Linked DNA regions of Drosophila melanogaster. The protein of the gene in region 2 interacts with the protein of the main gene of each other region in a pairwise test. Each region holds a gene or a part of one and is shown on either strand. Other genes may lie near its edges.

What was found.
Region 1: the proteins of Drep1 (region 2) and mtgo interact in a two-hybrid assay, tested with the Drosophila melanogaster proteins (one large-scale study listed by BioGRID).
Region 3: the proteins of Drep1 (region 2) and CG43736 interact in a two-hybrid assay, tested with the Drosophila melanogaster proteins (one large-scale study listed by BioGRID).

What each region holds. Positions count from the first base shown.
Region 1 is NT_033779.5:16,542,392-16,549,338, reverse strand, and holds the start of mtgo (miles to go), read right to left. Parts: upstream 4,324-6,947; 5' UTR 3,901-4,323; intron 159-3,900; exon of another isoform or gene 1-158. Other genes in the region: CG31816 (uncharacterized protein), read right to left, coding at 6,164-6,346, 6,556-6,666.
Region 2 is NT_033778.4:12,041,494-12,051,619, reverse strand, and holds Drep1 (DNA fragmentation factor-related protein 1), read right to left. Parts: upstream 7,009-10,126; 5' UTR 6,757-7,008; coding exon 6,712-6,756; intron 3,645-6,711; coding exon 3,429-3,644; intron 3,146-3,428; coding exon 2,874-3,145; intron 2,816-2,873; coding exon 2,455-2,815; coding exon of another isoform or gene 2,428-2,454; 3' UTR 1,448-2,427; downstream 1-1,447. Other genes in the region: CG30039 (uncharacterized protein), read left to right, coding at 1-13, 66-488; Polr3B (RNA polymerase III subunit B), read right to left, coding at 9,037-10,126.
Region 3 is NC_004354.4:6,865,238-6,872,549, reverse strand, and holds the start of CG43736 (uncharacterized protein), read right to left. Parts: upstream 4,324-7,312; 5' UTR 3,770-4,323; intron 3,290-3,769; 5' UTR 3,161-3,289; coding exon 1,559-3,160; intron 1-1,558.

The sequences.
Region 1 (6,947 bases), on a different chromosome or scaffold from region 2:
GATATTCGAACTTGTCAAAAAAAAAAAAAAAAAAAAAAAAACATCCAAGAAACCAATGCTACATATATTTGTTACAGGATAAATTTCTTGTCCGTTCTATTATAATATTTGGCCCAAAATAGGAAAAGATATTAAAATCTTATAAAATTTCATTAAAGCGTTTTTAAATCTAAATATTTAAAATAGGTCCATTGGGTATAATCGATTAAAATACGAAATTGCTGTCGGGAATAAGTCCTTACTTTCCGTCTCCTAATTCCCGTGGCCAATGAGAGGGTGCCTTTGAGAAATGGTGGCTCATTTGCGCAAACTGACAAATGTCTCAATTAGCGGAGGACGAATCCTCAAATGCAAGGGCGGTGGGGAGTATACATATATTCGGGAAAGTGGGTGGCAGCGAGGCGCCCGACAATGTCGCGACGCTTCCTATTCAATTTGAAAACCAAATGAAGCGTTGCCTCCGCCAAGGAGCAATTTACTCAGTGCATTGAATTGACCATATGGTTGGACACCCACCGAAGTCACCCACACGCCATCCGCACCACCGCCCCTCGAGGCATTTAGAATGGCCAACCCACCAGTTACAGGATCCCTTAAATTTTCGTAAAAAGCTTTAATGCACTCAAACAAGTTCTACACCATATTGTACTGTAAAAGATTTCAAAAAAGTAACTTTTTTTAAATCACTGTATACTTCATATGGAATATTTTTAGAGATTAAAATATTTATTTCTTTTTTTTTTATTTATTAGAAATCAAGTTCTAAATATACTATTTTATTTTTGTCATTAATTATTGTTGGAAATAAAGATGTATGAATAAAATATTTATTTTAAATAAACTTATGAATTTCGAATGCAAATCCATTTTTTCCGGTGCAATTGTAGGGTTTTTTATATAGTTACTCGCGCTGCTTTGCTTTGACCTTTGCGATGACGTCGGACCGGCGTCGGCTACCTCAAAGAGAGAGCAATGTAAACAGAGAAAGAGAAAGGCAGAGAAAGCAAGAGAGAGAACCAGTGGGGGAGAGAGCCTGGTGAATAAACAGCATGGTGAGAAGCGGTTCCTACGCGAAGAGTGCAACAAATGTTTGGTGGACAACTTCGGGCCAACAAGGTAAATGTTAAGGCATACACGATGGCTGAGTGGGTGAGCTTGTCGTTGGGTGGTTTTAGCGGGCGGTGGGTTAGTTGGGCGGGCTGCTTAGTGGGGTGGTTGCTTTTCGGCCCGTGACGCGTGGGCAGCGACAAAAGCGGGTGAAGCTATGTCTTGCCCTTTTTTTCGGCATACTGGCATACATAGCACGGCGAATTATTTGTGTGTGCCGATGTGCGGATATACAAATGTGTGCCTTTATAAGTGTGCTTTTATCAGGGTGCGTCAATCTAAGCCAAGTTCTGAATTTACGAAAGTCTTGAAATGCCAAGTATATTCTTATAAAGGTTTAAGCGCTAAAAGGAAATCAACAGTCCGCAAAAATAGCTGATCTTAATATTTCTTCTATTAAAAAAAAAGCACTTAATTTTAGTTCAGATCTTTACTTAGTTTAAGTCCTATATGCATGAACAAGTTTAATCAATATTGAAGTTTTTTATATTTAGCTTCGAACAAATTGCTCCACCCTAATGCTCCTGTATCCTTGTTCGCGATGAGCGTATACCCAGACAACGAAATGTCACAGCAGCCTACTTATGCTTTTTTCGCATCGCGTTTTATCCCCAAATGTGTGTGCGATTTTTGGTTCAGCTTTTTGGCATATGGTCGCCGTGCCGGAAAAGTGGGAAACCGGTAAGGGGGCTGCTTTCCCATTTGCAGTTTGGCTGAAAAGCTGTTTCGCTTATTTCCCTCTTTTTTAGTCAACCGTTTCTAGATAAATATTTTGCAACACCGCATCGCATTTCCATGATTAGCAGATAAACATATGCCAAGTTGCAAACTTGGCGTGTGTGTTCGGAGTGTAGAAGTTTAGAGAATCCCTGGGTAGTGGGCGGTTATACACGCGACTTTAATTGAGCTTTCAAGAGGACTAAGTTAAACATACAAATGTTTGCTTAGGATGCAACAGCTGTTGGCTGTGAGTTAAAAATTGTTCGAAAAAAACCTCTTTGGAGAAGTGGAATATCTTAAAATATTTAAATTTAAAATTTGATTTAAAACAATAAATGACGTAAGGTTTTTAAATTATAGTATAAAAATACTAGATTAATCGAAAATTAATGAAGTTTTGTATACCGCATTGAAACTGTGTATCTAAAGCTTTTAACTATTTAATGCCCAAAATTGCCTAATAGCGGTTCAGTTTAAAATAAAAAAAAATTTAATTACCCGTTATTATCACAAAATATATTCCTCACTAACTAAAATCCTTTTATCTTTAACCCCACACCCATTGTCATTCCATTTGGTTGGAATGTAACGCCTGCCCTTAATTCAATTAACTTTAATGAACCAAATTATAATTGCAAATAAATTATCTTATTAAAGACGCAGAAAGTTCGCACTCTTGCCTTTTAGTAGCACTAAAACTCTGAAAACGGCGTCAAGGCCAATTAGAAAACTTTGTCCAAACATCTCACTACCAAGAAGGACGAAACTGAAACTTATCTTTTGGATCAGCAAGAGCCCATTTTCACCCAAAAAAACCCCGTGTGTCTGGGCGACAATCTAGCATATGCCAAAGTAAAAAGCTCACCAAAGTCAAACTCGATTAAAAATGCATAAATGCAATTAAACGCAAATGGAAATCGAACCAAACTCGCAAAAGCTTCAAGCGAAAACGCCTCGAGGTGGAAAAGCCAAAGAGATACACTTTCCAAGAATTCCACTTTTTTCACAGACATTTGTTTTTAAGCCTAGAAGTTTAAAAGTATTAATGGATTTGCAACACATACAACATTAAATACAAGTGATTATATAATAATTTTATAATTATATAATTAAATTTTTTATTTAAATTAATTTTTACTCAGAAACATTTGATAGTACGGTATATACCCATAATTTTATTCAGTGTATGAAAGCAAAAAATGTAAAAGATATATGTAAAGAGGCAGTGGGCGGTGGGAGGAGGCCAGATATCCAAAAGACGCGACAAGTGTCGGCCGAGCTTTGTTTGGCGCAAAGAGAGCAGCGCACTTCGAAGAGCAAAAAGCGCGAAGCCAAAAATCCAAAGACGACCATAGATAGTAAATTGCAAAGTTTATGCCGCCAAGTTCATGAAATTGTAATAGCTTCATACCACGGTTATGCTTCACCAAAGTGGTCATACAATTAAAAAAATTACGTACACCTAACTTTAATCCATTAAACTCGTACATTTATAATTATAATTTCTGATTTGGCGGAATTAATGAACTAAGTACATCGTGCATTCATTTTGCTATTGGGTCCACGCATGAGCTTTGTAACAGTAAAAGAAGCCCTGACCATGCAGTTGCGTCAATGGGTGCGAGGGAGAAGGGTGAGTGTGGGAGCAGGAGGTGGGCTTGGGTATTAGAGAGAGAGAGAGTGGGAGAGCGCGAGAGGCACTGGTTGAGTTGGTTTTGCTGACTGCACTTGTTTTGCCATCGTAGTTATTGTTTTTGTTGCTTGCAACGTTTTGCTGCCACTTGGCCGCAAAGGCAACAAAAACAAACACACACTAATACACGTGCGCGTTATTGCCAATTCACCCACATACACACAAACAACAGTTAGCCGCCGCTTGTGTGTGTGTGTACGCTAACATATTGAACGCATTTTTTCATATTTCTCAATGGAAAAGCCAACTCTAAACACCGTTAATATCATCCATATTAGTTAGTTGTCATTTGTGAGAGAAGAAAATGTGAAAAACATGTAAATTGCTGGGCAAAATAATGCAACATATGCTAGCACCACACTCTGATATTATCAACTTACTTTGCAAGTATTTGCCTTTGAATTTGGATTTGATTTTGCTTTTGTTTTCTATTTATTTATTTGTTGCTTTTTGGTTTTATTTCTTGCTGCACTCACTAACACAGAAACACACACGTACGCGCTAAACACGAAAAGCAGCCAATATATTTTATTCGTTTTGATTTTCACTGCTTGGAAATTTTCGCATTTCCATTTTCGAAATGCGTAACAACAAGTATTCTGTGGTTGAACAAACAACGATTTACGCGAATATAATAAAATAACGATAAACGGTTATTACGATGGTTTCCGCTGGCCAAAAACCTGCGACGAAATAGTCAACTGAGGGGAAAACAAGTAACAATTGTACCTGCCGAATTTGTTTTTAAACGCTTGCCAGCTTTTCTGATTTTCCGATGCGAACGCGCGCGCTGCGAAAAACATATTCGAAGCGAGTCGGAGAAGCCCCTCTATATAGATTCTCTCCGGCGCTTGAAAACAATTCGCATTGAGTGAGTTACGAAAAGCGGCTGATTCGGGCGCCAATTTGCTCCCACGAATTCTGCACGCTCTTACTCCAACGCATTGGAATGCTCCGCGCTCTTGAGCGCTTTCTGCACTGTTCGCTCGCTAACGGTAGTTCATGTGACGTTAACGTAAAGCTTGTTTCATTGCTTCATTATTGCAATGCAAAAATTTACATTATTTCTTCTAACTTACCCATTAACCGAATTAAATCTAATATCTAACATCAAATAAGTCGTTATCTAAATTATTGTTTTAATTTTTTATTTGACCTGGGCTTTTCTATCGAATTCTATGTAATTCAATGCAAAAATTGAAGTTGTTAGTATTTTTTCTTTGTGCATAAGAGTAAGCAATTGTTGCTTTCGTGCGCTCTCTCTTTTTCACTATCTTTTAACCCGTTCGTTTGCGTGGGTGCCAGGGAAATTTCCACCCACTGAAAGTCCTAAAATTGAGTTATTAAGTGAATCAAGGGCCAGCAAGGTTTTTGAGCATAGTTATTTGAATGTCCAGAAGATCAGCTTATTACCAAATGCATTTATTTGATTACTCTATCATGTGACACTACGTGTACAAAAATTATATGAATAAGATATTTACGTAATGAAGCCGAGTACGACTTAACAATATTTTAAACTTAAAGCTAAATATACATTTTATAATTTGAATAAGAATAGGATTGGGAAATTCATATTTAAGGACGGGCTTAATATATAATATAAAATATCCCTTTTGGCGTCGACTGCGCTGCATTTCCTCTGCCGTCGTTTTTGTTCCAAAAATCGCGTGGGAGAGTGAGTGAATAAAGGAAAGGTTGGAAGAGGGAGAGGGAGAGAGTGAGAGTGAGTAGGTGAGTCCAGATTGAGTTATTTTTCCAAGCCTGCAACCTGTATGAAATTATGGCTCAAGAGGCCAAAAGCTTTACGCGGTTGAAAATTGTTGCTTTTGCGACGCCGGCCGAAATGCAAACAGCTGTTTGCAGAATACAACAAATAATAAATAACTTGAACTTCAAAGCAAAACGGAAGGAAGATTTCAATATTTCATGGAAAAAAAAAGAAAGAAACTGGCTAACAACTTCATACATATATAAATTTTAGTATACGTAATATTATTTGAAATCTAGGCAATTTTGTATTATCAAAGGTCAATTGAACAATATACATAAGTGGGAGAATCGAAAAATGACTCGTAATATAAGTCTAGTCCTGCTAATCCGTTTTGCAATGGACACCACATTATTCAAGTCAATTTCTATAAAATATATAATAAAATGATAATTGAAATTCATTTTCTAAGCTACGTTATAGATTGTAAATCTTTTTGTATAATTTATTTTTCAAAATACCGTTAATCCTTTTAAATGAACCCGACTGGGAGGATACATTTCTGTTGAAATTCTTACGTATGTAAATACTTCAATGAAATTGTTAACAAAATCTCCGTATAACACTAGTACTTACAAAACTTTTACAAGAGCTTAAGGAAAGCGTTAGCATATAACCAAACCATTGCGGTAGGTGTCCACGCTAAAATGTAAATTAAATGTGAAAGCCGGAAATACAGTTTCAAGTCATTTCCGGAACTATTCTGGAATCCATTCTATCCAAGTTACAACATAATAAACTCCTTAAAGGGCTATACAAATATTTGGACTAACCAAGTAAAGTTGGGTATGAAAATATTTTATTTTAATAACTGTATATTCCCTTAAAAATGGAATAGGAATAATTTCGCTGTCCTCATTATTTTGTCGCTTCTATGCCCCAACTTTGCAGAACTTTTTCGATGTTTTTCGCAGCCTTAACCACCACTCGAAGTCATTCTTGATGTATTTAGCTTTGACAGCACGTTCGCGTTGCTGCACAAATTCGTCGCGATCGCGCAGCCAAATTCTAGCGTACTCCCAGCCAATCAAGTGCGACATCGATACCGGACTGCACTGTAAAAAAAAAATTAAGCAACAAGATATTACCAGCATGTAAGAAATATTAGGAATTATTGACAACGGAACCAGGTGTGCTCGCTCTATATTGAGAATTTATTTTGTTGCCTACTTATGTGGGTTTTTCAAAGGGCAGGTATTAAATTAATTATTAAAAAATCCACTACTTTAAGATATTTAAATCAAAAGCAACTATGTATAGTTACCTCTAGCTCGCAGGACGGCACAAAGCGTTCTCGTTTTCCCGCTTCGGTGGTAAGATTATCCTTAGGCTTACATAGGCGAGCTCGCGACCATTCTTTGGTCTGCTTATTCATTTCATGAGGGGATTATTTATACCGGTTTCACTAAGATTTTGTCGGTGACAATGTATAAAAACTTAAGATTTTTGAAAACGCATTTCCTAAAGCGATAAATTTATGGATTAAGGTTCAGATATGTTTGAAGGAAAACGCGTTACAAGTAGTTTACATTTTTGTACATTTTTTCATTTCAATGTTTTGGGTTTTAACAAAGAAACGAAATAAAACAAATAATACAAGACTGAAAACAGTCATAACAAACTTGATGAAATTTTCCAAACCAAGCCATCCGAAGG
Region 2 (10,126 bases):
AGAAAATTTTCCGGTGAGTATTGACACATCACAAACGTACACACGAATTTCACGCAATTGAATAGCTTCCAAGTGTAGAAACACAAGCCGCAACTGATGAAGGAGGTCCTCCATTACCGCAATCACCTGAAAACGTTGAGGAAAATGTGAAAGAAACCAAAGAGGTTCAAGAGTCCCAGCGCTGCAGTAGTTCGAGGATTTTAAATCGGGAACATAAATATAAGCAGCCAGAATGCAAAGCATCGAGATCAGTGAAAAAAAGGAAAAGGGCAAGGATCCATAAACGGAAAAGCACTCTTTACGGAGATCGCGCTGTGAACTGTACCAAGTGCGGAACTGTCACGATCTATTTTCCGGCCCGCACCAAGTTTTTCTCATGTGCCGAGATAGATGGTCGATTGTTCAAGGTGAAACGGATCTCGTCCAGAAAAGTACTTGGTGGTGCTTACCGCAAGCAACCTATGAAGCGTTCGAAATTACCGTGTTAAAAATTGTTGTCTACGTTTAGGAAACAAACGTACAAAATTTACTTGAAATGAAGTCTTAAGATTTTTACTTGAACGTAATTTTCTAACTAATTGTATAACTTTTTATCTAAATTATTCGTACTAGACTTGTTAAATAAAATGCCTGACTACTGAATAATTTTCAATAAGAGTCTTTTTTTATTCAAAGGACCAAAATCGGTTCGCTCGAAGCTCAGATTGCTTTCGATTAAGTTTCCATTTCCTCTTCCGGCACTTCCTCTTAATCTGCAGGACAACATCAAAAGAATTACAAACTCAAGTGTGTGTGACAATTTCTTGGCCAGGCAGCCCACCGTAAATGCCATCATACACATCAAAAGCAGTCAAAGCGATTTTCAGTTACATTTTTAATATTTTTGGGCACTTTTCGCCCCATGATTTTTCTTTTTTCCCCTGCCAGCAGGATGAAAATCGTCGAGGGCGCAAATTAAAAGAGCAGCCAAGGAATGGGAACCGAAAAAGGGATGTGCTGTGTTAGTAGGGGATATTGAGTATGCAAAGGCCACAGGACGCTGGATTCAATTCATCAAAGCCAGGGCCACGCCCACAAAGAGACCCTTGCTGTGGGGCGCTGTCGTCACGAATTTGGGTCACCCGGGAGCTTTGAACTGTGTTAGTAGGCCATCGCAATCAGCTAGCCAGGACCTGCAAACGTCATGGTGCAGTGACGTCACGAAGGAAGTTGAATGGCAAAAGAGAATGGCGTCGAGTAATGCAATTATATGGCAGCAGCAGGTGTAGGACTCCCACTCTCTTGCTCTCTCGAACTGGAAAAAAGGGAAATGGAAGAAGCGGTGAAGGAAGGGGAAACTCTCTTTTGCCAGCGGAAGAGCAGGATGCAGTCCATACGCCCTGTTGCACACGCTTTGTGCGTTGCGCATACGCCCCGTTTGCCAGTTATGCTAGTTCAATCAACTTTAGTTTAATAATCATTTATTTATTACTTGGTTTCGTGTATATAGTTTGCCTCGGGGTTTTCACTTGCATTTACTGTATGCTTTTCACTATATTTAATAATTGTTCACTGTTTGCATTCGGTTTTAGATTTCGTTTACGTTTACGGTTTCCCTTATTGCTTATTCGAATTGTAGACAGTTACAGTTACCAACTTTGATTGGGCAATTGCAATTTGCGTTATTGTGTTCCATTATTGTTTAATTAGCTAACAATGTTTGCGCTGTCGCTTAAATTCATTTGGCTATGGATTCGGGGGCGGGAAGACGGGGATTCTGGGAGGACAGGGCAGCAGCGCTGGAGGCTTCCATCCGATCTTTCCCGAACCGCTCAAACCACGAAAAAACCTATTACACATAAATTCAGTCAGTCTCAATTGGCCTTTAACGAATGACATTCACAATGGCATTGGTCTAAAAACAATATTTGATGTGCGTTTCCACTCTACCTACTATTCGTAACACAATTTACACGGTAAGCAAATCAACAGTTTCCTGGGACAACTCCATCCAATTGGGGTTCGCTCTGGTTGTGGGATTCTACCTCAAGTATAATACTTATTTCGCTAACCTTTGATTATTATTCATCTAGTACGGCTTGGTGTGACTCGTGTATATGCGGTTAAATACGATTCCGCTGACTGTGATTGCTAAAAGACTTTTCAAATCTGCGCGGGCCTCTTGTTCTCTTGAGCCTCGTGACCCGGTGTTTAAATCTAGTACGTGTATTGTTCGTTAACTTTCATTTGCTCTTAGATACTATGAAGCATTTTCAATGACTTGATTTCGTCTCCGTTTCGTTTTTGCTGATTTCGCAGTGCCTAATTACATGCTACAAATACGATTTATGTTAACCCAATGTTGCAGGACTGATGTCTTCGGTATATCCTTTTGGCTCTTGATTTTGATTGGCGCACCCAGTTGCGTTAGTTTTCCGCCGGCAGACTTTACCTAAGACTGCCCAAAATGGGCAGTCAGATGTCGCCGTTGGCATTTGGATTTCTATTTGGATTGGCATTGGCCTCATTGGCAGCCGCTTCGGCAGCGGAGGATCCCATCGCTCCACTGGCTGTGGCGCAAGTGGTGGTGGCCTCGCCCACCGTAATTGTTATCGTCGTGTTTTGATTGTCGCACTGCACCACCTCGATGGTGCGGGTGTTGCTCGTCGTTGTGGTGCTCATCTGTCCACTCTCCGCCTCGTTCAACTGCCGTCCAATCTCCCGGTCAATGGCCTCCGCATCCTCGGGATAACGTTCCGAGCAGAAAATGGCACCAGCTTTCAATAGCTTCAGCAGATTTAAACGATCCTCGGCATTCCGCTTGGCACACAATGGCCTAAAGTCATGAAATCATGCTACAATTAAGTGGTATATGGGAAAGGAATTAAACTCACCTTCCCGCATCCTTGAGCTGCTCCATAAACTCCTTTCCCGTGATGTCCACCAACGAGTTGGGATCCATGTTGGAGAGTGAGTCCAGATCGGCATCGTTCATCACGGACACGTTGCAGAGGTTGTTCTGCAGCTGGCCCACCAACTGGCGGATGCGAGCCGACTCCGAGTTGTTGGCATCGGTGGTGTCGCCCTCGCCTCCTCCGTTCAGCTCTCCGTTTCCAGTTCCTGCCTCGTTGCCATGTGGAGTGGTTATCGTCACGTAGTGAGTGGGCTATAAACAGAGTGCAGATAGCATTTAATTTAATCTTCCTGGCTTTGGTCCCATGCTCATGGAGCTCTTTCATGGCATTCAAGAAATAATGCAATTAGTCATTATGGCAGATAAAAGGAGGGACACATAAAATGAGCTATCCAATTAAGCGGTGTTCACTTTGAGAAATGAAAATTACACAATCGCAAAACGAATTTATTGAGGTGATTTAAATAAAAAAGGTGCTGATATAATTATTTTTAAGTGCCTGTTTTCCTTTTCCTTTTATTTAAGGGCTACTCACATCGATCCAATGTTCTCCGGGAAAGACGGCCACCAGTTCCGTATTCTCGTCGAGGGTGCGAAAGTACTCCTCATCATCGATCTCCGTGCCGTCGGAGTCCAGGTGGATGGTGGGCAGGTGGTCGCACTTCTCGAACTTCTCCGCCACCTTGCTGCGGATCTCCTCCAGACTGGAGGCGCAGACAGCCTTCTTAATGTTGCGTGTTACGTCCTTGACCTGGCCATAAAAACGCAGAAGGACAGTGCCGGGAAAAGGGAATAATAAACCATTACACGTTTGCAATTACGGAGACAGTAGCAGTTACACATGGCCCCGCTCATCAAATGAATAATAAATTAATGTCAGATGGGAAACAACTGAGGTCCTATAAAATATTCACATCGTCGGCACCCAAAATAAGAAAACGGAAAAACATCGAAATGGGAAAAGTTGTAAATTTTCCTTTAGCTGCACCCTTTTTCTTGAGACAACAACGTGAACGGAATGGAGAAACTATGGAAACTTTCCGCCTGATTTATTCATTATCCTCCCGCTTGCACTTAATTATTCAGTCTGTTTCTCTTTTCAACGCAAACTTTACCCTGTTTTTATAGTTATTTAATTAGGCAATCTTTGAAAATTCCATTAAACAAAGAGAAAAGATAAATAGTAGCGCAAGTTGCTAAATAATAAATACACAACCACATTTCGACGCTGATTGTTTTCCATTCCCCGAAAAATCGCAATGAATAAATGAACGCAATATTTGCGACCACGTCATGTCCTGCTGTCAAATGTCCATTTGCTCTAATTGAGATTTATGGACGGCTTTTTCCCGGTGGGGGATGTCACCACCTTAAAGTGCCTCCCACAGCCCGACGACTTTGTGCATATTTCAGTTGCGAATGCCGAGTTCCATGAGCTCCTCTACTTTTGCTCGAGATCTCGAACGCAGTTTGACATGCACTCTAGCAGCTGCGGTGCAAATATTTGTCGTTTATCTCCCACTCCCCGATTCCCTGGCGTATCCTTTTAAATTTTCTTTTTATTTGACAAGTTATGCATGTCAGCATTCTTCATGCTGCATGCTCCTTCGCGAATGCCATAGGTTAGTGCTGTTCGCCGGTTGCAAGGACGAAGGACGCAAGCCTTTGGCTCTATTAAACTTGCATGCGATGTTAAATGATGCCTCAGCACTAAGGTTAAACGAAACATAAATTAGACCCGTCCAGATGGAGGCTCAAGGAGGCGCAACTTTAAGGGAGCAAGCGGCACGAATGCATTCCACCCAGAATTTATAGCCCCGAAACGTCGGACAGCGTGCAACTCCTTGAGGTCCTTCATGAATATTTGAGAGCACCGTGACTAAATGAAATTGTACTCGAGTTTGCATTTCGAACATTTCATTTTACTCGTGCGCCTAGCTGCTCTATCATCCCAATTCCATTTGCTCAGATAGCGGAGGAGGTCGTCCCTAAATTATCTTATAAATACTTAAAGCCACATAACTTTTGTGCCGCGAAAGCTCCAAATATTAATCATATCATGAATGCGGCGTGTGGGGCTAGAACTTTGTAACAATGAAAACTTTGCCCAACTACTGGCGCATTTGACAAGTGGGAGTCGCGGCAGCATCGAAAACAAAAGCATAGTTTTTGTTCGGAAACTTGTCAAAAGTTTTAGTCGATCGCATTAGTTGATTTTTCAAGTGGCGTCGATTTTTCAAGCGGTCGCAATTCAATTAGCAGTTTATCTAATTACCCGCAAAATTATACAAAGCTTATACAAATCAGAAACAAGATTTATTCGGAAAGTAAACATGTTTCAAAAGTGTTTCAAGTTGTTTCTTGAATGGAAATGCTATTAGGTTATATCATTAAGAGCAAATTTTTGGCACATCGTGGTAAGTAAAACTTTATTTTTTAATATTTAAATATAAGAATAATATTTAAATATTGAAATGAGCAAACACAAATGTTACCTACTTGCTACTGTTTAAGATACAAATTTCCAAACTAGCATCACTACAAGTTCAGGCTAATGTATGTGAAAGTCTAGATGAAATCAGTTAAGTGTTTTTCTAGAAGACCAGTTTATACACAAAAGTGTATGCAAAACGACTTGGGCAAATTGGTAGAGCAGCAGCGAGTTGAGGGCTTATAAATCTCAACTAACTCGAGCTGCTCAGCCATCAGGACCCGAGGGTCCTGGTCCACACATACGTACGTAGATGAACGTGCAACGACCTCCGGCGTCTGGCTCCGTTTTAGGAGCAGCCGAAGGAGACGTGCCAGGAACTCTATCATCTGCATCCAAGATGCGGGCAGAATCCACAAGTCGCAGGACATTTTAATATTTGATGGGCGTAGGCCGCAGATTTTCGAGTCGCTGGGGAAATTAGGCGACAACTTTAAATTGCTTTTGAACTATGCCGCGGCATTATGTAGATTGTTTAATAAATTATTAACAAAATGCCTGAGGCGGGTCGTGGGCGTGGCTGTTGGCTAATTACAGCGACATGTCGGGATGAAAAGTTTTCCCTTTTTAATGGCATTTTCATGGCTGTCATGGTATTTGACAGCTTTTAAGCCGATTTGCGTTTGGTGGTTTTTGAATTAAATATTTTAATAAGGAGCGGCATTTTAATGGATAAAGTGGGGGAGGGAATTCCTGGATGTTATCTCCAGTCATGTTTTACGAAAGTTGTTTTCTGTGTTTCACAGACAATTTAAATAGCTTTGTGGTTTATTGGTTTCCTTTGAGTTGTCAGCTGCATGTACTTCCAGTGGTTTTCTGCAACCTTAAGCACGTTTTTTACATCCCCATAATACTTTAAACAGCTTTCTGCTGTTTAAGCGGCAGATAAACAAATTAAACAGGAAACAATGGCCCAGCAGTCAAGTAAAACAAATGCTAAAGGCAAACAATTCCCAATACTCGAATCAAAAGGCAAATGCAAAGCTAGACAAACATGTAAAAAAAAGGACAAAGAGAAAGAAAGCAACTAAATAGTGTTTTTGAATTTGCAAAGTCAAATTTCAGGCAGTTAATGCTTATTACTGAGCTTTCGGCACTCTCTTAGCTTGAGCTTTTGGCTCTCTTGAGTTCTGAAGTTCAACCCAGTTTCCATAAGAATCCAAAAAAAAAGGAAAAAAAGTAGCGAACGCAGCACGCGGCCAACAACAACAAAGGCGAAAACAACAACGCCCAAAAATGGACATGCCAGGAAAATAATGCATGCACTTAAAATGCAATTGTTCGTCTGCGGCCTTTATTTCCATTTACAATTACAGGGGGAACTCACTTTGAAAGGCTTTTTGGAGTCGCCCGAGTTCGCTGCAGTCTCCATGGCTTTGTTTGCTCCAACTAAATTACTTATTCACTATGCACTTTATTTCCAGGCTTAATTGCTCCACATTAAATGACTTTTCTATAGATTTGATTACTTTTCGCTTGCTTCTTGCACTTGCACTCGGCGTCCGAACAAACAAACTTGGAATTTCCTTCCACAAGCTGCACTTCAAATGGGAATTAACAATATTTTCTCGGCTCCGCAGCGGAGCTTTCGTTGCGATGAGCACCGGTTTTGAAATGAGCGCGTTTTGCTCAAAAGCACTGCCTTTTATACGCAGAGAAAGGGCTTCTAACAGATGTTGAGTTCGAACTGCGAGTGCTCGCTTTTAAATGAATGTTAACTGATAGGTTCAAATAATATTTGTTTTATGTCCTATTGGCCATGTTTCTTTTTAATCATGATAAGTAAACATATTTTTGAAGCCTAACACTTTTTTTTTTTATATTTTTTTTTTTATAAATTATTCCCTGTAGATTTTGGTTATTTAATTAATTAATATTGTATCAATTTTTTGTAAAATAGGTAATAATGTGCTTCTAAAAGAAAACACTAAACAGATTAGAATTTTAAATATATTGAAACATAAAGCTTACAAAGAGAAAACAAACATAGTCAAAAACACGTTCTCTCTCGCTGAATATGTTAACATTTGGCTGTGGCCTAGTCCCTAGAAAACACAAAGAGTTTGCTGGAACAATCCTGGCTGAAAAGTTAAGGTGATTCCAGCAATCTAATCTCTATTTCCATCGGAAGGTGCTTTCGGATTCAATTAGTCCATTGGGAGGGGTTGCGCATTATCAGCCCAATGATATCCGGTGTTGTCAATTCGAAATCCCCTCGCCCGCTTGGAACCCGGCCAAAAGAGCAGTTGGACTACGCTTAACTTTCTACACAAGTGGCCAACACCCATTTAAATCTATATACATCTATTGCCATGCACACATCAACGAACCGTCCAGATAAGAAGAGCAAAAAGCAAACTTTTGACAAATGGCCAAAATACATGAAAGGAAAGCCAAAGCCGGAAGGTGGCCCCAGATTGGGTTCTCATCAGTTTGTGCACGGCGAAAAATAAAGATTCTGTTATGATACTAAAAACTAATAAAAACTATAACTTATTGCATACTTATCAGCGCCTAATTGAGCAAATGGATTCCATAAAGGATAAAGGTATGTAGGTATAAATAGGAATGAGTAGTTTTCTTTTAGTCATACGAATATCAACTAACTTTATATAATTCTCAAAAGTTTTTCCACGTATAAAACGGTACTGAATAGCCCGGAAAAGAGGTGGGCATGCAAGTATGGGGGAGATCAGAGATGGGGCAGCCTTAAATTGTCATCCTAGTGCGCACCATTGGTTCCTCGGATGCTGATGCTGCTTCTGCTGCTGGCAGTTTGCCCCGTTTGCTGTCATTGCACTGCACATAGTAACTTCTACGTGTCCTGCGGAGGAGAAGCAGCAGTGGGTGGTAGCTGTGACTATTTTAAGCGCAGGTCACTCGAAAGGACGCACAAGGACATTGGCTTGTGTGGGTGGCTGTGTCGCCTGCAGTTCGCAGGTCACGTGCATGCACCGCGGTGCATTGACCACGGACACGTTGACACATCGGCCGGAATCTGGGTTGAGCTCCACCTCGAAGCCAGGTGACAGGTAATTGCCTCACGGGCAATCAGGCAATAGGCAATATCGAGGGAAAACAATAAATCAACGCCTGGCGATATTGGTTTTACTAAGAAGCATCAAGCCGCTCGAGAATGTTTAGTTTAACTGAGCCAAAAAACAAAATACACATAAGATAGAGGATTATAAGGACAAAGAGCAAACAAAGAAACAGAATAACAAAAAACATTTCATCTTAACAACTTAATCTTTTGTCCAGACACAGACGTTTTAAATTCGGCCAAAAGGGCAGACACAACTAATTATCCTTTGCGCAATAAAAAAAAAGGATAACATAAGCGATTTAACACGGCTCAGTCCTTTTCAGTAACAGCTTGCGTCTGCCTGTTAACGAACAGAAAGCTGATATGCAAAAGGACCTCGTTAAAATTCAAGAGGACTTTCTTTCGCTGACTTCGTTTGAACCTCTTCATTTTGACATTTGCAGCTCGCGGTCATGGAAACTTAATGAATGCGTAGGATTTTTGCCCTTGCCAGAGTTCACACACCATTCGTTTTTACAAAAATATTGGAAAACCTAAGCTAGTTTCCATCATTAACCATTATTATTATATAACAATTATTTTATTCGGTTTCAGGCCATTGCATCGTTAATAGTTTTCCAAAATCATTTTCGGCACCACATTCATGCTGGTCAACTCCTGGAAGAGCAGTTTGCATGCATACGGCATGGATATCTTAGAGACATTGGCCGACGACTGGCAGAAATGACACCAGGAGCAGTAGGCCATCCTGCCGCAAGTCCGGCAAACATCCACCTCAAAGGCATCCGATGAGATCATCAGACGCTCCATGATCAGCATACTAGCTCCGTAAGAAATGAGACAATCCCGTTCCATTTCGCCCAGACGAAGGCCACCCTCACGACTCCTGCCCTGCGTCGGCTGACGGGTGAGCACCGCCTTGGGTCCCCGGGCACGGGCATGCATCTTATCCTGCACCATATGCTTCAGTTTTTGGTAGTACACGGGTCCCGAGTAGATGTAGGCCTCCAGTGGTGTTCCTGTGATGCCGGAGTAGAAAAAGTCCTTGCCCACGTAGTTGAAACCATGGCGCTCCAGTTCCGCCTGAATGTCTTCCACCTTGGAGCCCCCGAACGCAGTTCCATAGTGGAACTTGCCCTCCAGGAGACCAGCCTTCCCGCCGAGCAGCTCTAACGTTTTACCCACTGTCATACGGGAGGGGAATCCGTGTGGGTTCATTATCATATCCGGGCAGATGCCGAAGTCATTAAAGGGCATATCCTCCTGTTCAACAATCAACCCAGTCACGCCTTTTTGTCCGTGCCGAGAGCTGAACTTGTCCCCGATCTCGGGGATACGTGTCTGGCGCAGCAGGATCTTGATGAGAAAGTCTTCCTCGGCATTGGCGGAAACCATAACGCGTTCGATGTAACTGGGCTCGGGACCCTTATAGCTAATGGGTACTGCGGTGTAGGGAACCTGTGCAGACTGACCCTGCAGCGGATTCATCGATGTTACCGCGGGCATTTCCTTGTTAATCATGATCTGTTTGTTTTGAACCTGCTCGCCTGGAGCCACAATTCCGTCAGTGTCCAGAACGTCGTGCTTGAAGATAACCTTGTTCGTCAGCGCATCTTTCATGGGACCCATGATTCTGTCGAAGGTTTGATTCGCATACCGTTTCACAGTGCACTTTGAGTTTTTGTACACCAGACAG
Region 3 (7,312 bases), on a different chromosome or scaffold from region 2:
CCACTAGTTAATCGTTGTGATGACCTACTTTACCATGTGTGCAATTATGGCGAATTGTTGTGCATAATTAACAATTATGAATGCAAAGAAGGCGGAAGTTATTGGCACTGCAAATTAGTTCAGCAACAACAATCGATTAATAAATTGCGACTATTAGACGCTTAAAGACTTTTTGTGCTATGTGAACGATTTCGTAGGCGATTAGAACTACGTTTTTAGGTCTCCGATTTGATAAGATTGCCATTACGCATAGCGAGTATCTAGACGGCTTGTATTTCTTTTTTTTTTTTGTTTACGTTTTATGTGTTAGAGGCCGATTTTAATTTTGAAGGTCACAACAAATTCCTCAAGTTCTAGATATATTAAGAATATTTCAAACACACATGAATTTTAATTAATTATAAATTTATGAATTTATAATTAATTTATGGTGAAATGTTTGTAAAACAAACATCTTTCTTTCGTGAGAAAGGAAGTTTACTTTATAGAAGTTCGACTGTAGTGGCAGCAACAACAGCAGCAACATCAACAGGTTGTGGCCAGCACACACACACACACACACACACTCATATGCACATCCCAAAGAGGGAAGAGAGGGCACCAGTGGGGGGAAAGAGATGGGGATGGGCATAGAGGGAGATGGAGCCACTCTCCTATGCACACTATACTGGTGACCTAGTTTTTGATGCCGTCGAACGCTGCTGCTGCGCTGTTGCCAAACTGCGAAAAAATCAGCTAGAAAAAAAAAGCACGCTAACACAAACAGCGATTTATATATGTGTACGATGTACATATGTACTGCCTAGCATATGTAAGTTTGTGTATCATTACAAGCAAGGCCAACAAAACACGGCCATGCACTCTCTAGAGAAATCCCTCCGTACGCACACATATACATCCAAAATACCCCCAATACATCCCATTTCCACCTTTTTCGAACTGGTCTCCACCAAAGTCGGGCCTGGATTTTCTATATCAATGGTAGTCAAATAACTAGTTTTAAATGCCATTCTAAGCAGTTCATTTTTGAACTTTATAATATACTATACCATTAAAATAGAAGTAATTTAACATTGGGTGTGACATTACTAATGTATGGAGTGGTAGACAATTTGTTAAACCAATTAAGTACCGGAAATGTCATTCATTTCGATTTTGAGCCGAAGGATTCTAGTATAAAATAGTAGCTCTTAGTGATAAATAAGTATCCATTTACAATTTTACGAAATAAAATAAAATGCCAATTCACAAATGAGCTGGATTAATGTATATCACAAACATTGCATAAACACCGACTCGCATTACTCTAAAGTAGGCTCGAATTTCTAGATAAGGCTTGAAAAACGATAATTCGGTTGAGTGTAAAGAATCTTGTATCTATAATATTGTTCAGTAGCTGGGGTATAATAAATGATACCATAGCAACGTTGATATTATATTCCAGATTACGATTGGGCATTACTTCTCAAACTTTGCTAATAGCTTTGATATCCCAAAGTTTGATAAACATTGTGCATTAATTGGAGGAAAACGTTAGCTAGCCTAGTGCTCAACTCACCATCATCTGGGCGTGGAGCTGCAGGTTTGTCTGTCCGGACATCCATCCGCTGCTGGCCAAAGCCTGGACGGTGGCCTGCGATAACATCCTGTTGTTGCCCTGCGACTGCTGGAGCATCGACGCCGCTGCCGCCGCCTGGGAATTGAAGGCCGCTACCGCGGCTGCCCCAAAACTATTTGCCGCATTCGCCACACCATTGGCGCCGGCGGCAGCTGCTGCTGCGGCGGCGCGTTGCTTCATCAGATGCTGTTGATGCGCCGTCGCCGCTGCTGCGGCGGCAGAGGCAGCGTGCTGTTGCTGAGATTTTGAGGTCACCTGTTGGCCACCAGCGGTGTTCGCGGAGGATGATGCGGCTGATGTGTTCTGGCCCATGTTGCCGCCGCTGGAGGAGGAAGGGCCGGACGATCCGGAAACGGAGGTGGTCACTTTTGGAGGCGGCGCCGAGGGTTGACGGGTCCAATTGACCGAGTTGTTGACATTGGCCCGATTGCCAATGAGCAGATTGGAGTCAACCACCTTGCTGGGCCAGTAGTCCTCGAATTCGGTGCCATTTGGGAAGTAGCTTTTGATGTCCGTCAGCGAAATCACGGCCACGTTCTCGCTGGAGAAGAGCTCATTGCGTATGCCCTGCACCTTGCAGCAGAACTTTAGATAAGCCAGGTCCCAGCCATTGAGCAGCTCCGCTTTGGTCTTTAGATTCTCGGTCTCGCCCTCAAAATAAAAGAGCGGCACAACCTGCTGATTGTTGCGCACAGTGTAGGGCACCACGGACTCCTTGTTGATGCGAATAAAGCCGCACTTCTCCGACGGCGTCTTGCTGCCGGAGACTAGTTTCCTATAGCAAATATCCAGGAACTGATAGAACTTGGATGCGTCACTGAGACGCACCACCAAATCCTTTTGGTTGAAGATGTCGCGACCGAACTCGCCGTCACAATGCTTATGATTAATCTCGATGAAGAGACGGGCCTCCGCATCGGTGATGTAGTAGCTGCGCACGCAGGTGCAGCTGGAGTAGATATCCGGATGCAGGCAGTTAAGGTATTTGCCCAGCAGTTTCAGTTCGATCATGCGCACGGAGCAGTACTTCTCCGATTGGCGATAGATGTACGGTATGGATACCTTGCCGAACTGAGCCCAGCCGAAGTGGCCTTGAATGGACTCCTCGTCGCAGGGTCCCGTGGAGGACTTCTTGTCCGAGCCGGAGTCGCTGACGGCTCCATTCGAGCGGCCATTGGAGGCCAAGGCGGGCACCACCTGCATGGTGCCGTTGGGTAGTTTCTGATGACGAGATAGGTAGTTCATGATATTGGTCTGGCCATTGCCATTTGTGATCGGCGGCTGCATGTTGCCACCGGCCGAGGATGCCGCAATGGCGCCCCCATTCGAGTGCTGCATGGCCGCTTGACGGGATGCCTGCTGGGCGGCCTGTTGCTTCTGCTGCTCCTTCATTTTGGCAGCTAGTTCGCGGATCTCGGCGTCATCGGGACGCTCCTGCTTGACGGGCGGTCCCAGGGGACCGCCCAAACTGTTGCCGTGGAGCGGTAGGCTCTGGCCATTGGCATCGATGACGCTAGTGATCTGCACATCCTCGCTGGCCATCGCTCCTCCGCACACTCTCGCTCTTTTGCTCTAGAATGCTGTCTTGCTCGCGCTCTATGTAATCTTGCGTTATCGTACTTTTCCAGACTTTTCGATATCCACACTTTTGGTTTGGTTTTATATTAGGAGCTGTATTGAAAAATTTACTTGTTAGGATGACAGTTCGATTGGTACTGCCAGCATTTCAATTTGATATGTTATTTGTGTATGTATTTATATATATGCTCATATATGTCAATATATATTTAACAAAGACTGCATTATGTCTTACTGATTTTTTTAATTATTCACACATCAAAATGAAATTCTTTTGGCAAGTGTATTTGTTATTTAAACAGAACTATAAAAGAAATAAACAGCCGGCTTGTTCGATCCTTCTCTTTCTGGCACACAAACGGTCACACTGACCGGCTGTCTCACACACACACACACACACACACACACGTGATAATTTTTTTAGATGTTTTCCTTTGCAAGTGTGCGTGTGTTAATGCGCGCACTTATTTTTGTTGTTTTTCGAGCTCATTTCAACATTTTGCACACAATGCTATTGCTGTTGTTGTTTTTGGCATATAAATTATACATTATGTATGCATGTGGTACACTTACACAAACAAACGCTAACTGCATTTTGGCAGTGTGGCAAAAAAAAAAACAAAACTATTTAATGCATTTGTTGTTATATTTAGTTGCTGCTTTCTCTCTCCTCGTTTGCTTTTGGTTTATTAAATTCCTTTTTGTTGTTTTTGCGACGACGCTCGTGGTGAAAAAAAAAAACAATTTGTTTGGTTCTCTTTTCTTTTGATATTCGCACTTTTTCGCTAGTTTGCTTTAGCGCTTGTTCCGCATTCGACGCCGACGCACGTCCGCCCGTCTTCGCAATACACAAACGAGTGTGATCGTTGTTACGAAAATTATTTCAACGAAGTCAACTGAAAAATGTGTACGGCACACACACAAACCTACAGCCGTGCGCTCACCCACACTGGCGCAGCGCGCCGGCAGCGACGCCTACTGCGGCAGCGGATGCAGAGCGCAAAAGAAAAACGGAAAACACGAAAGAGAAAAAAACAAACACCCGTAGCGCAGTCGGCGTCGCTGCAACGCTGCCACGAACATTTTGCCGAATTGTTGTTGCTGCTGTCCGTCTCCCTTTTGCGCCCCCACCCCCCTTCTTATGCATTTTCCTACTCTGCCATCGCTCTCTCTCACCCTATTCGGCTAGCCCCCTCCTCGACGAACGCCTGCTCTCTCTCTCTCCTTCCGCTCATCGACTAGCTCTAAGCTGCGACGCCGACGTCAACGTAGCTGCAGAGTTACAACCCACAGTGGTTAAGACATAAGCAACTTATGGAAATTAATTAAGGGATCTTAGCCAATTCAGTATGAAAGTAAAATTTTATAAAATAATACGAATTTATGGGATTACAAGTTTACCATTTGTTGAATATTTAACCTCACAATTAAGTTCTTTAAATACTCTACACATATGTATCTCGAATTTGAACTTTTTATTGTTAAACTTTCTCTCAAATTCGCATTATTTTTTAGTAACACCATCTGGGAATCAAGCAGATCAAAAAAGGCAAGCTTCTTTGTGGCTTACTCATATAAATGGTGTAAAAAATAATGCAAACTAGCTAAATTTACTTTAAAATTAGTGTTTCCTTGTTACATGTTTACTCTTTACATACAGTTGTACAAATTTATTTGTATATATTATTTCTCTATAAGAATATAATAATGCCATTTTCCCCTGGCATTTGAACCACGGTACAAGGAAAGCTTAAGCTATGCTATATACAAGACCCACACACACTGACACATGTTCACAGAGAGCTGGCTGGGTCACAGTATTGGTATTGGTTTTGGTATTGGTGGTGTGATGATGATGTTGTTGCTTTTGTGCGGGAGTGGGTGGGTGGGTGCTCTTTGTGGGCGAAGGCGTGGCGGGGCGGCTCTATTTTTGGCAAGCACCAAAAGCAAAAGCAAAGGCCCCTGCTTAGCATTCGATGGCCACCTCTCCTCGCTCTAGCCCTCTCCCTTTCCCACATGCCATCACTCTCCCCGTCCCTTTCGCACCGTCGAATGCAAGAAGTTTTCGGTATTCGCGCGCTCTGCGGCTTTCAAGACAGGCCCCGTTCCAGAAGGCAGAGAAAACCGGGAACGACCGAGCACGAACACGAACAAACGAATACACGAGTTCACGAACGGGCGCAGCTCCAAAAGGTCGCCCCGACTCTAAACATTTACCAAAAAAAAAAATTTAATTAGCCAGGTCCAAGAGTCCAAGTCAAATTCCATTGTGCCGCCATCATACGGGGCTAAAAAGTTAACTGCCAGTTAATAACGAGTCCCGCGAAGTACAGTCAGATCAAAACAGGTGTTATTTGGTCCCGAAAACTAAACGTACAGTTGCGCCAAAACACATTGTGATATGTATTTTACTTAATGCAATGTCCACTTCAATTTATTTAGAACCAACTGTAGCCTATTAAAGGTTCTACTTGTTTTCATTCAATCATATGCTTATGTGTGTAATAGGATTACACAATATAAACCGAAACGCAATTTATATATGAATGTACGTAAGTACACCAATCAGTTTTTAGGGTATTCAAAAGCCGAGTGTCAATGGAAGGCACTGCAGTTTATTGGTATCTCTCGGCTTTGGTTTCAGGTGTCTCCCGGGCTTTTTAGTTTGTACGGTACGAGACTCTCCAGTGCGTGGCTTTCTTTAATTCTTTCGTTCTACGGGCTCCCTGTTTCGTGGCATCTCTCTTGATTTTGAGTGGGGGTTTTGATTTTTGGTGTTTTGCTTTGCTAATTAGTCAGCTGTGCGTGAGTGTGTTTGGGTATTTCTTGTACTTTGTGTGGAAGATGTTTTTTGTTTTTTTTTTCTCTACGGCCATGTAAACCCCCTTCTAATAGTGCGGTATTCGTATTTAGTCATATGCTTAACTATGTACATAGATATATATGTATATACATATACATACATAAATCTATATGTACGAGGCTATGTGCAACGGTTAAAGTGTGCGAAATGTGCATCTGTAGTGGTGGGCATACGCATTCGACATCGTCAGTCGCCATCGATGCGAACGAAGAGTGTACGAGAGTGAGAGAGAGAGGGTGTAAGTGCGAGGGGTTGGGTAAGGGGAGAAAGAGGGAGACAGCGTGAGAAGCGAGCGTTACGAAAGGCCCCGTTTCGTGCGCGCTTTGCTATGTAAACACGACTAAACATGTGCCTGCATGTGTGCGTCTGTCTGCATGTATGAATCTAGGCGTACACATGTATGTATGTTTGCATGCGTGGATGTAGACCGTTCGTTTAACCATCAATGGGAAATATTGGATTGGGCGTTGGGTGGCTCAAAACGGGGGATTGGGGCGGTAGGCGGATGGTCGGCTCTGCCGTTTGCTATGATTTTGGCAAGCTTCACGATTGCGCAGGGAACAGAAAACCGATATTTGCTGCACAAAGAAGTAGAACTAGGAGGGCTTACCGAGCTTGATGATGTTTGTACATATATATGTACATATGTATGTATGTATATACATATGTATGGTGGCAATATACAAAAATACAAACGAACAAGAGATCTTACCGCTTAGAAACGGTTAAATTTTGCCAAAATTACGTTAGTAATATTGTTAATACTGCTGGATGTGTAAACACTTTTTAAACAGTCTTGGCTTTGACAGCGACTAATGGCTATTTACAATTTTTGTGCGAGTTGCTTCAGGAATTTTCTCTAACATTTTCTTGTAAATGCATTTGTGCCACCAAACGTTAATGGGGAAAGTCGTTCTACCATCTACATAGTTTCTTAACACAAACTTAAAATTATGCAGATTTGCTGCGTATCTCTTTGCCTCTATAAAATTACCCCACTCACTGCTCCTTTCATTGGGGACTCTGGCCAATCAATGGGGACCGGACATCCGTTCGACCTCGGCTCCCCCCAAGCGCGCAACGCCCACCACCCGCAGTACTTTCCACCGCAATCTTCCCACTCACATCACTTTTTTTCTGCCCTGCTTTCCTCTCCTCTTCTCCTTCTCCGCTGCACTTTGCTTTCTGCTTTCGGCTAATGCGCCCGCAGCACCTGAGAGCGTTACAGAGTGTTGGTGTGCCGGTGTTAATGT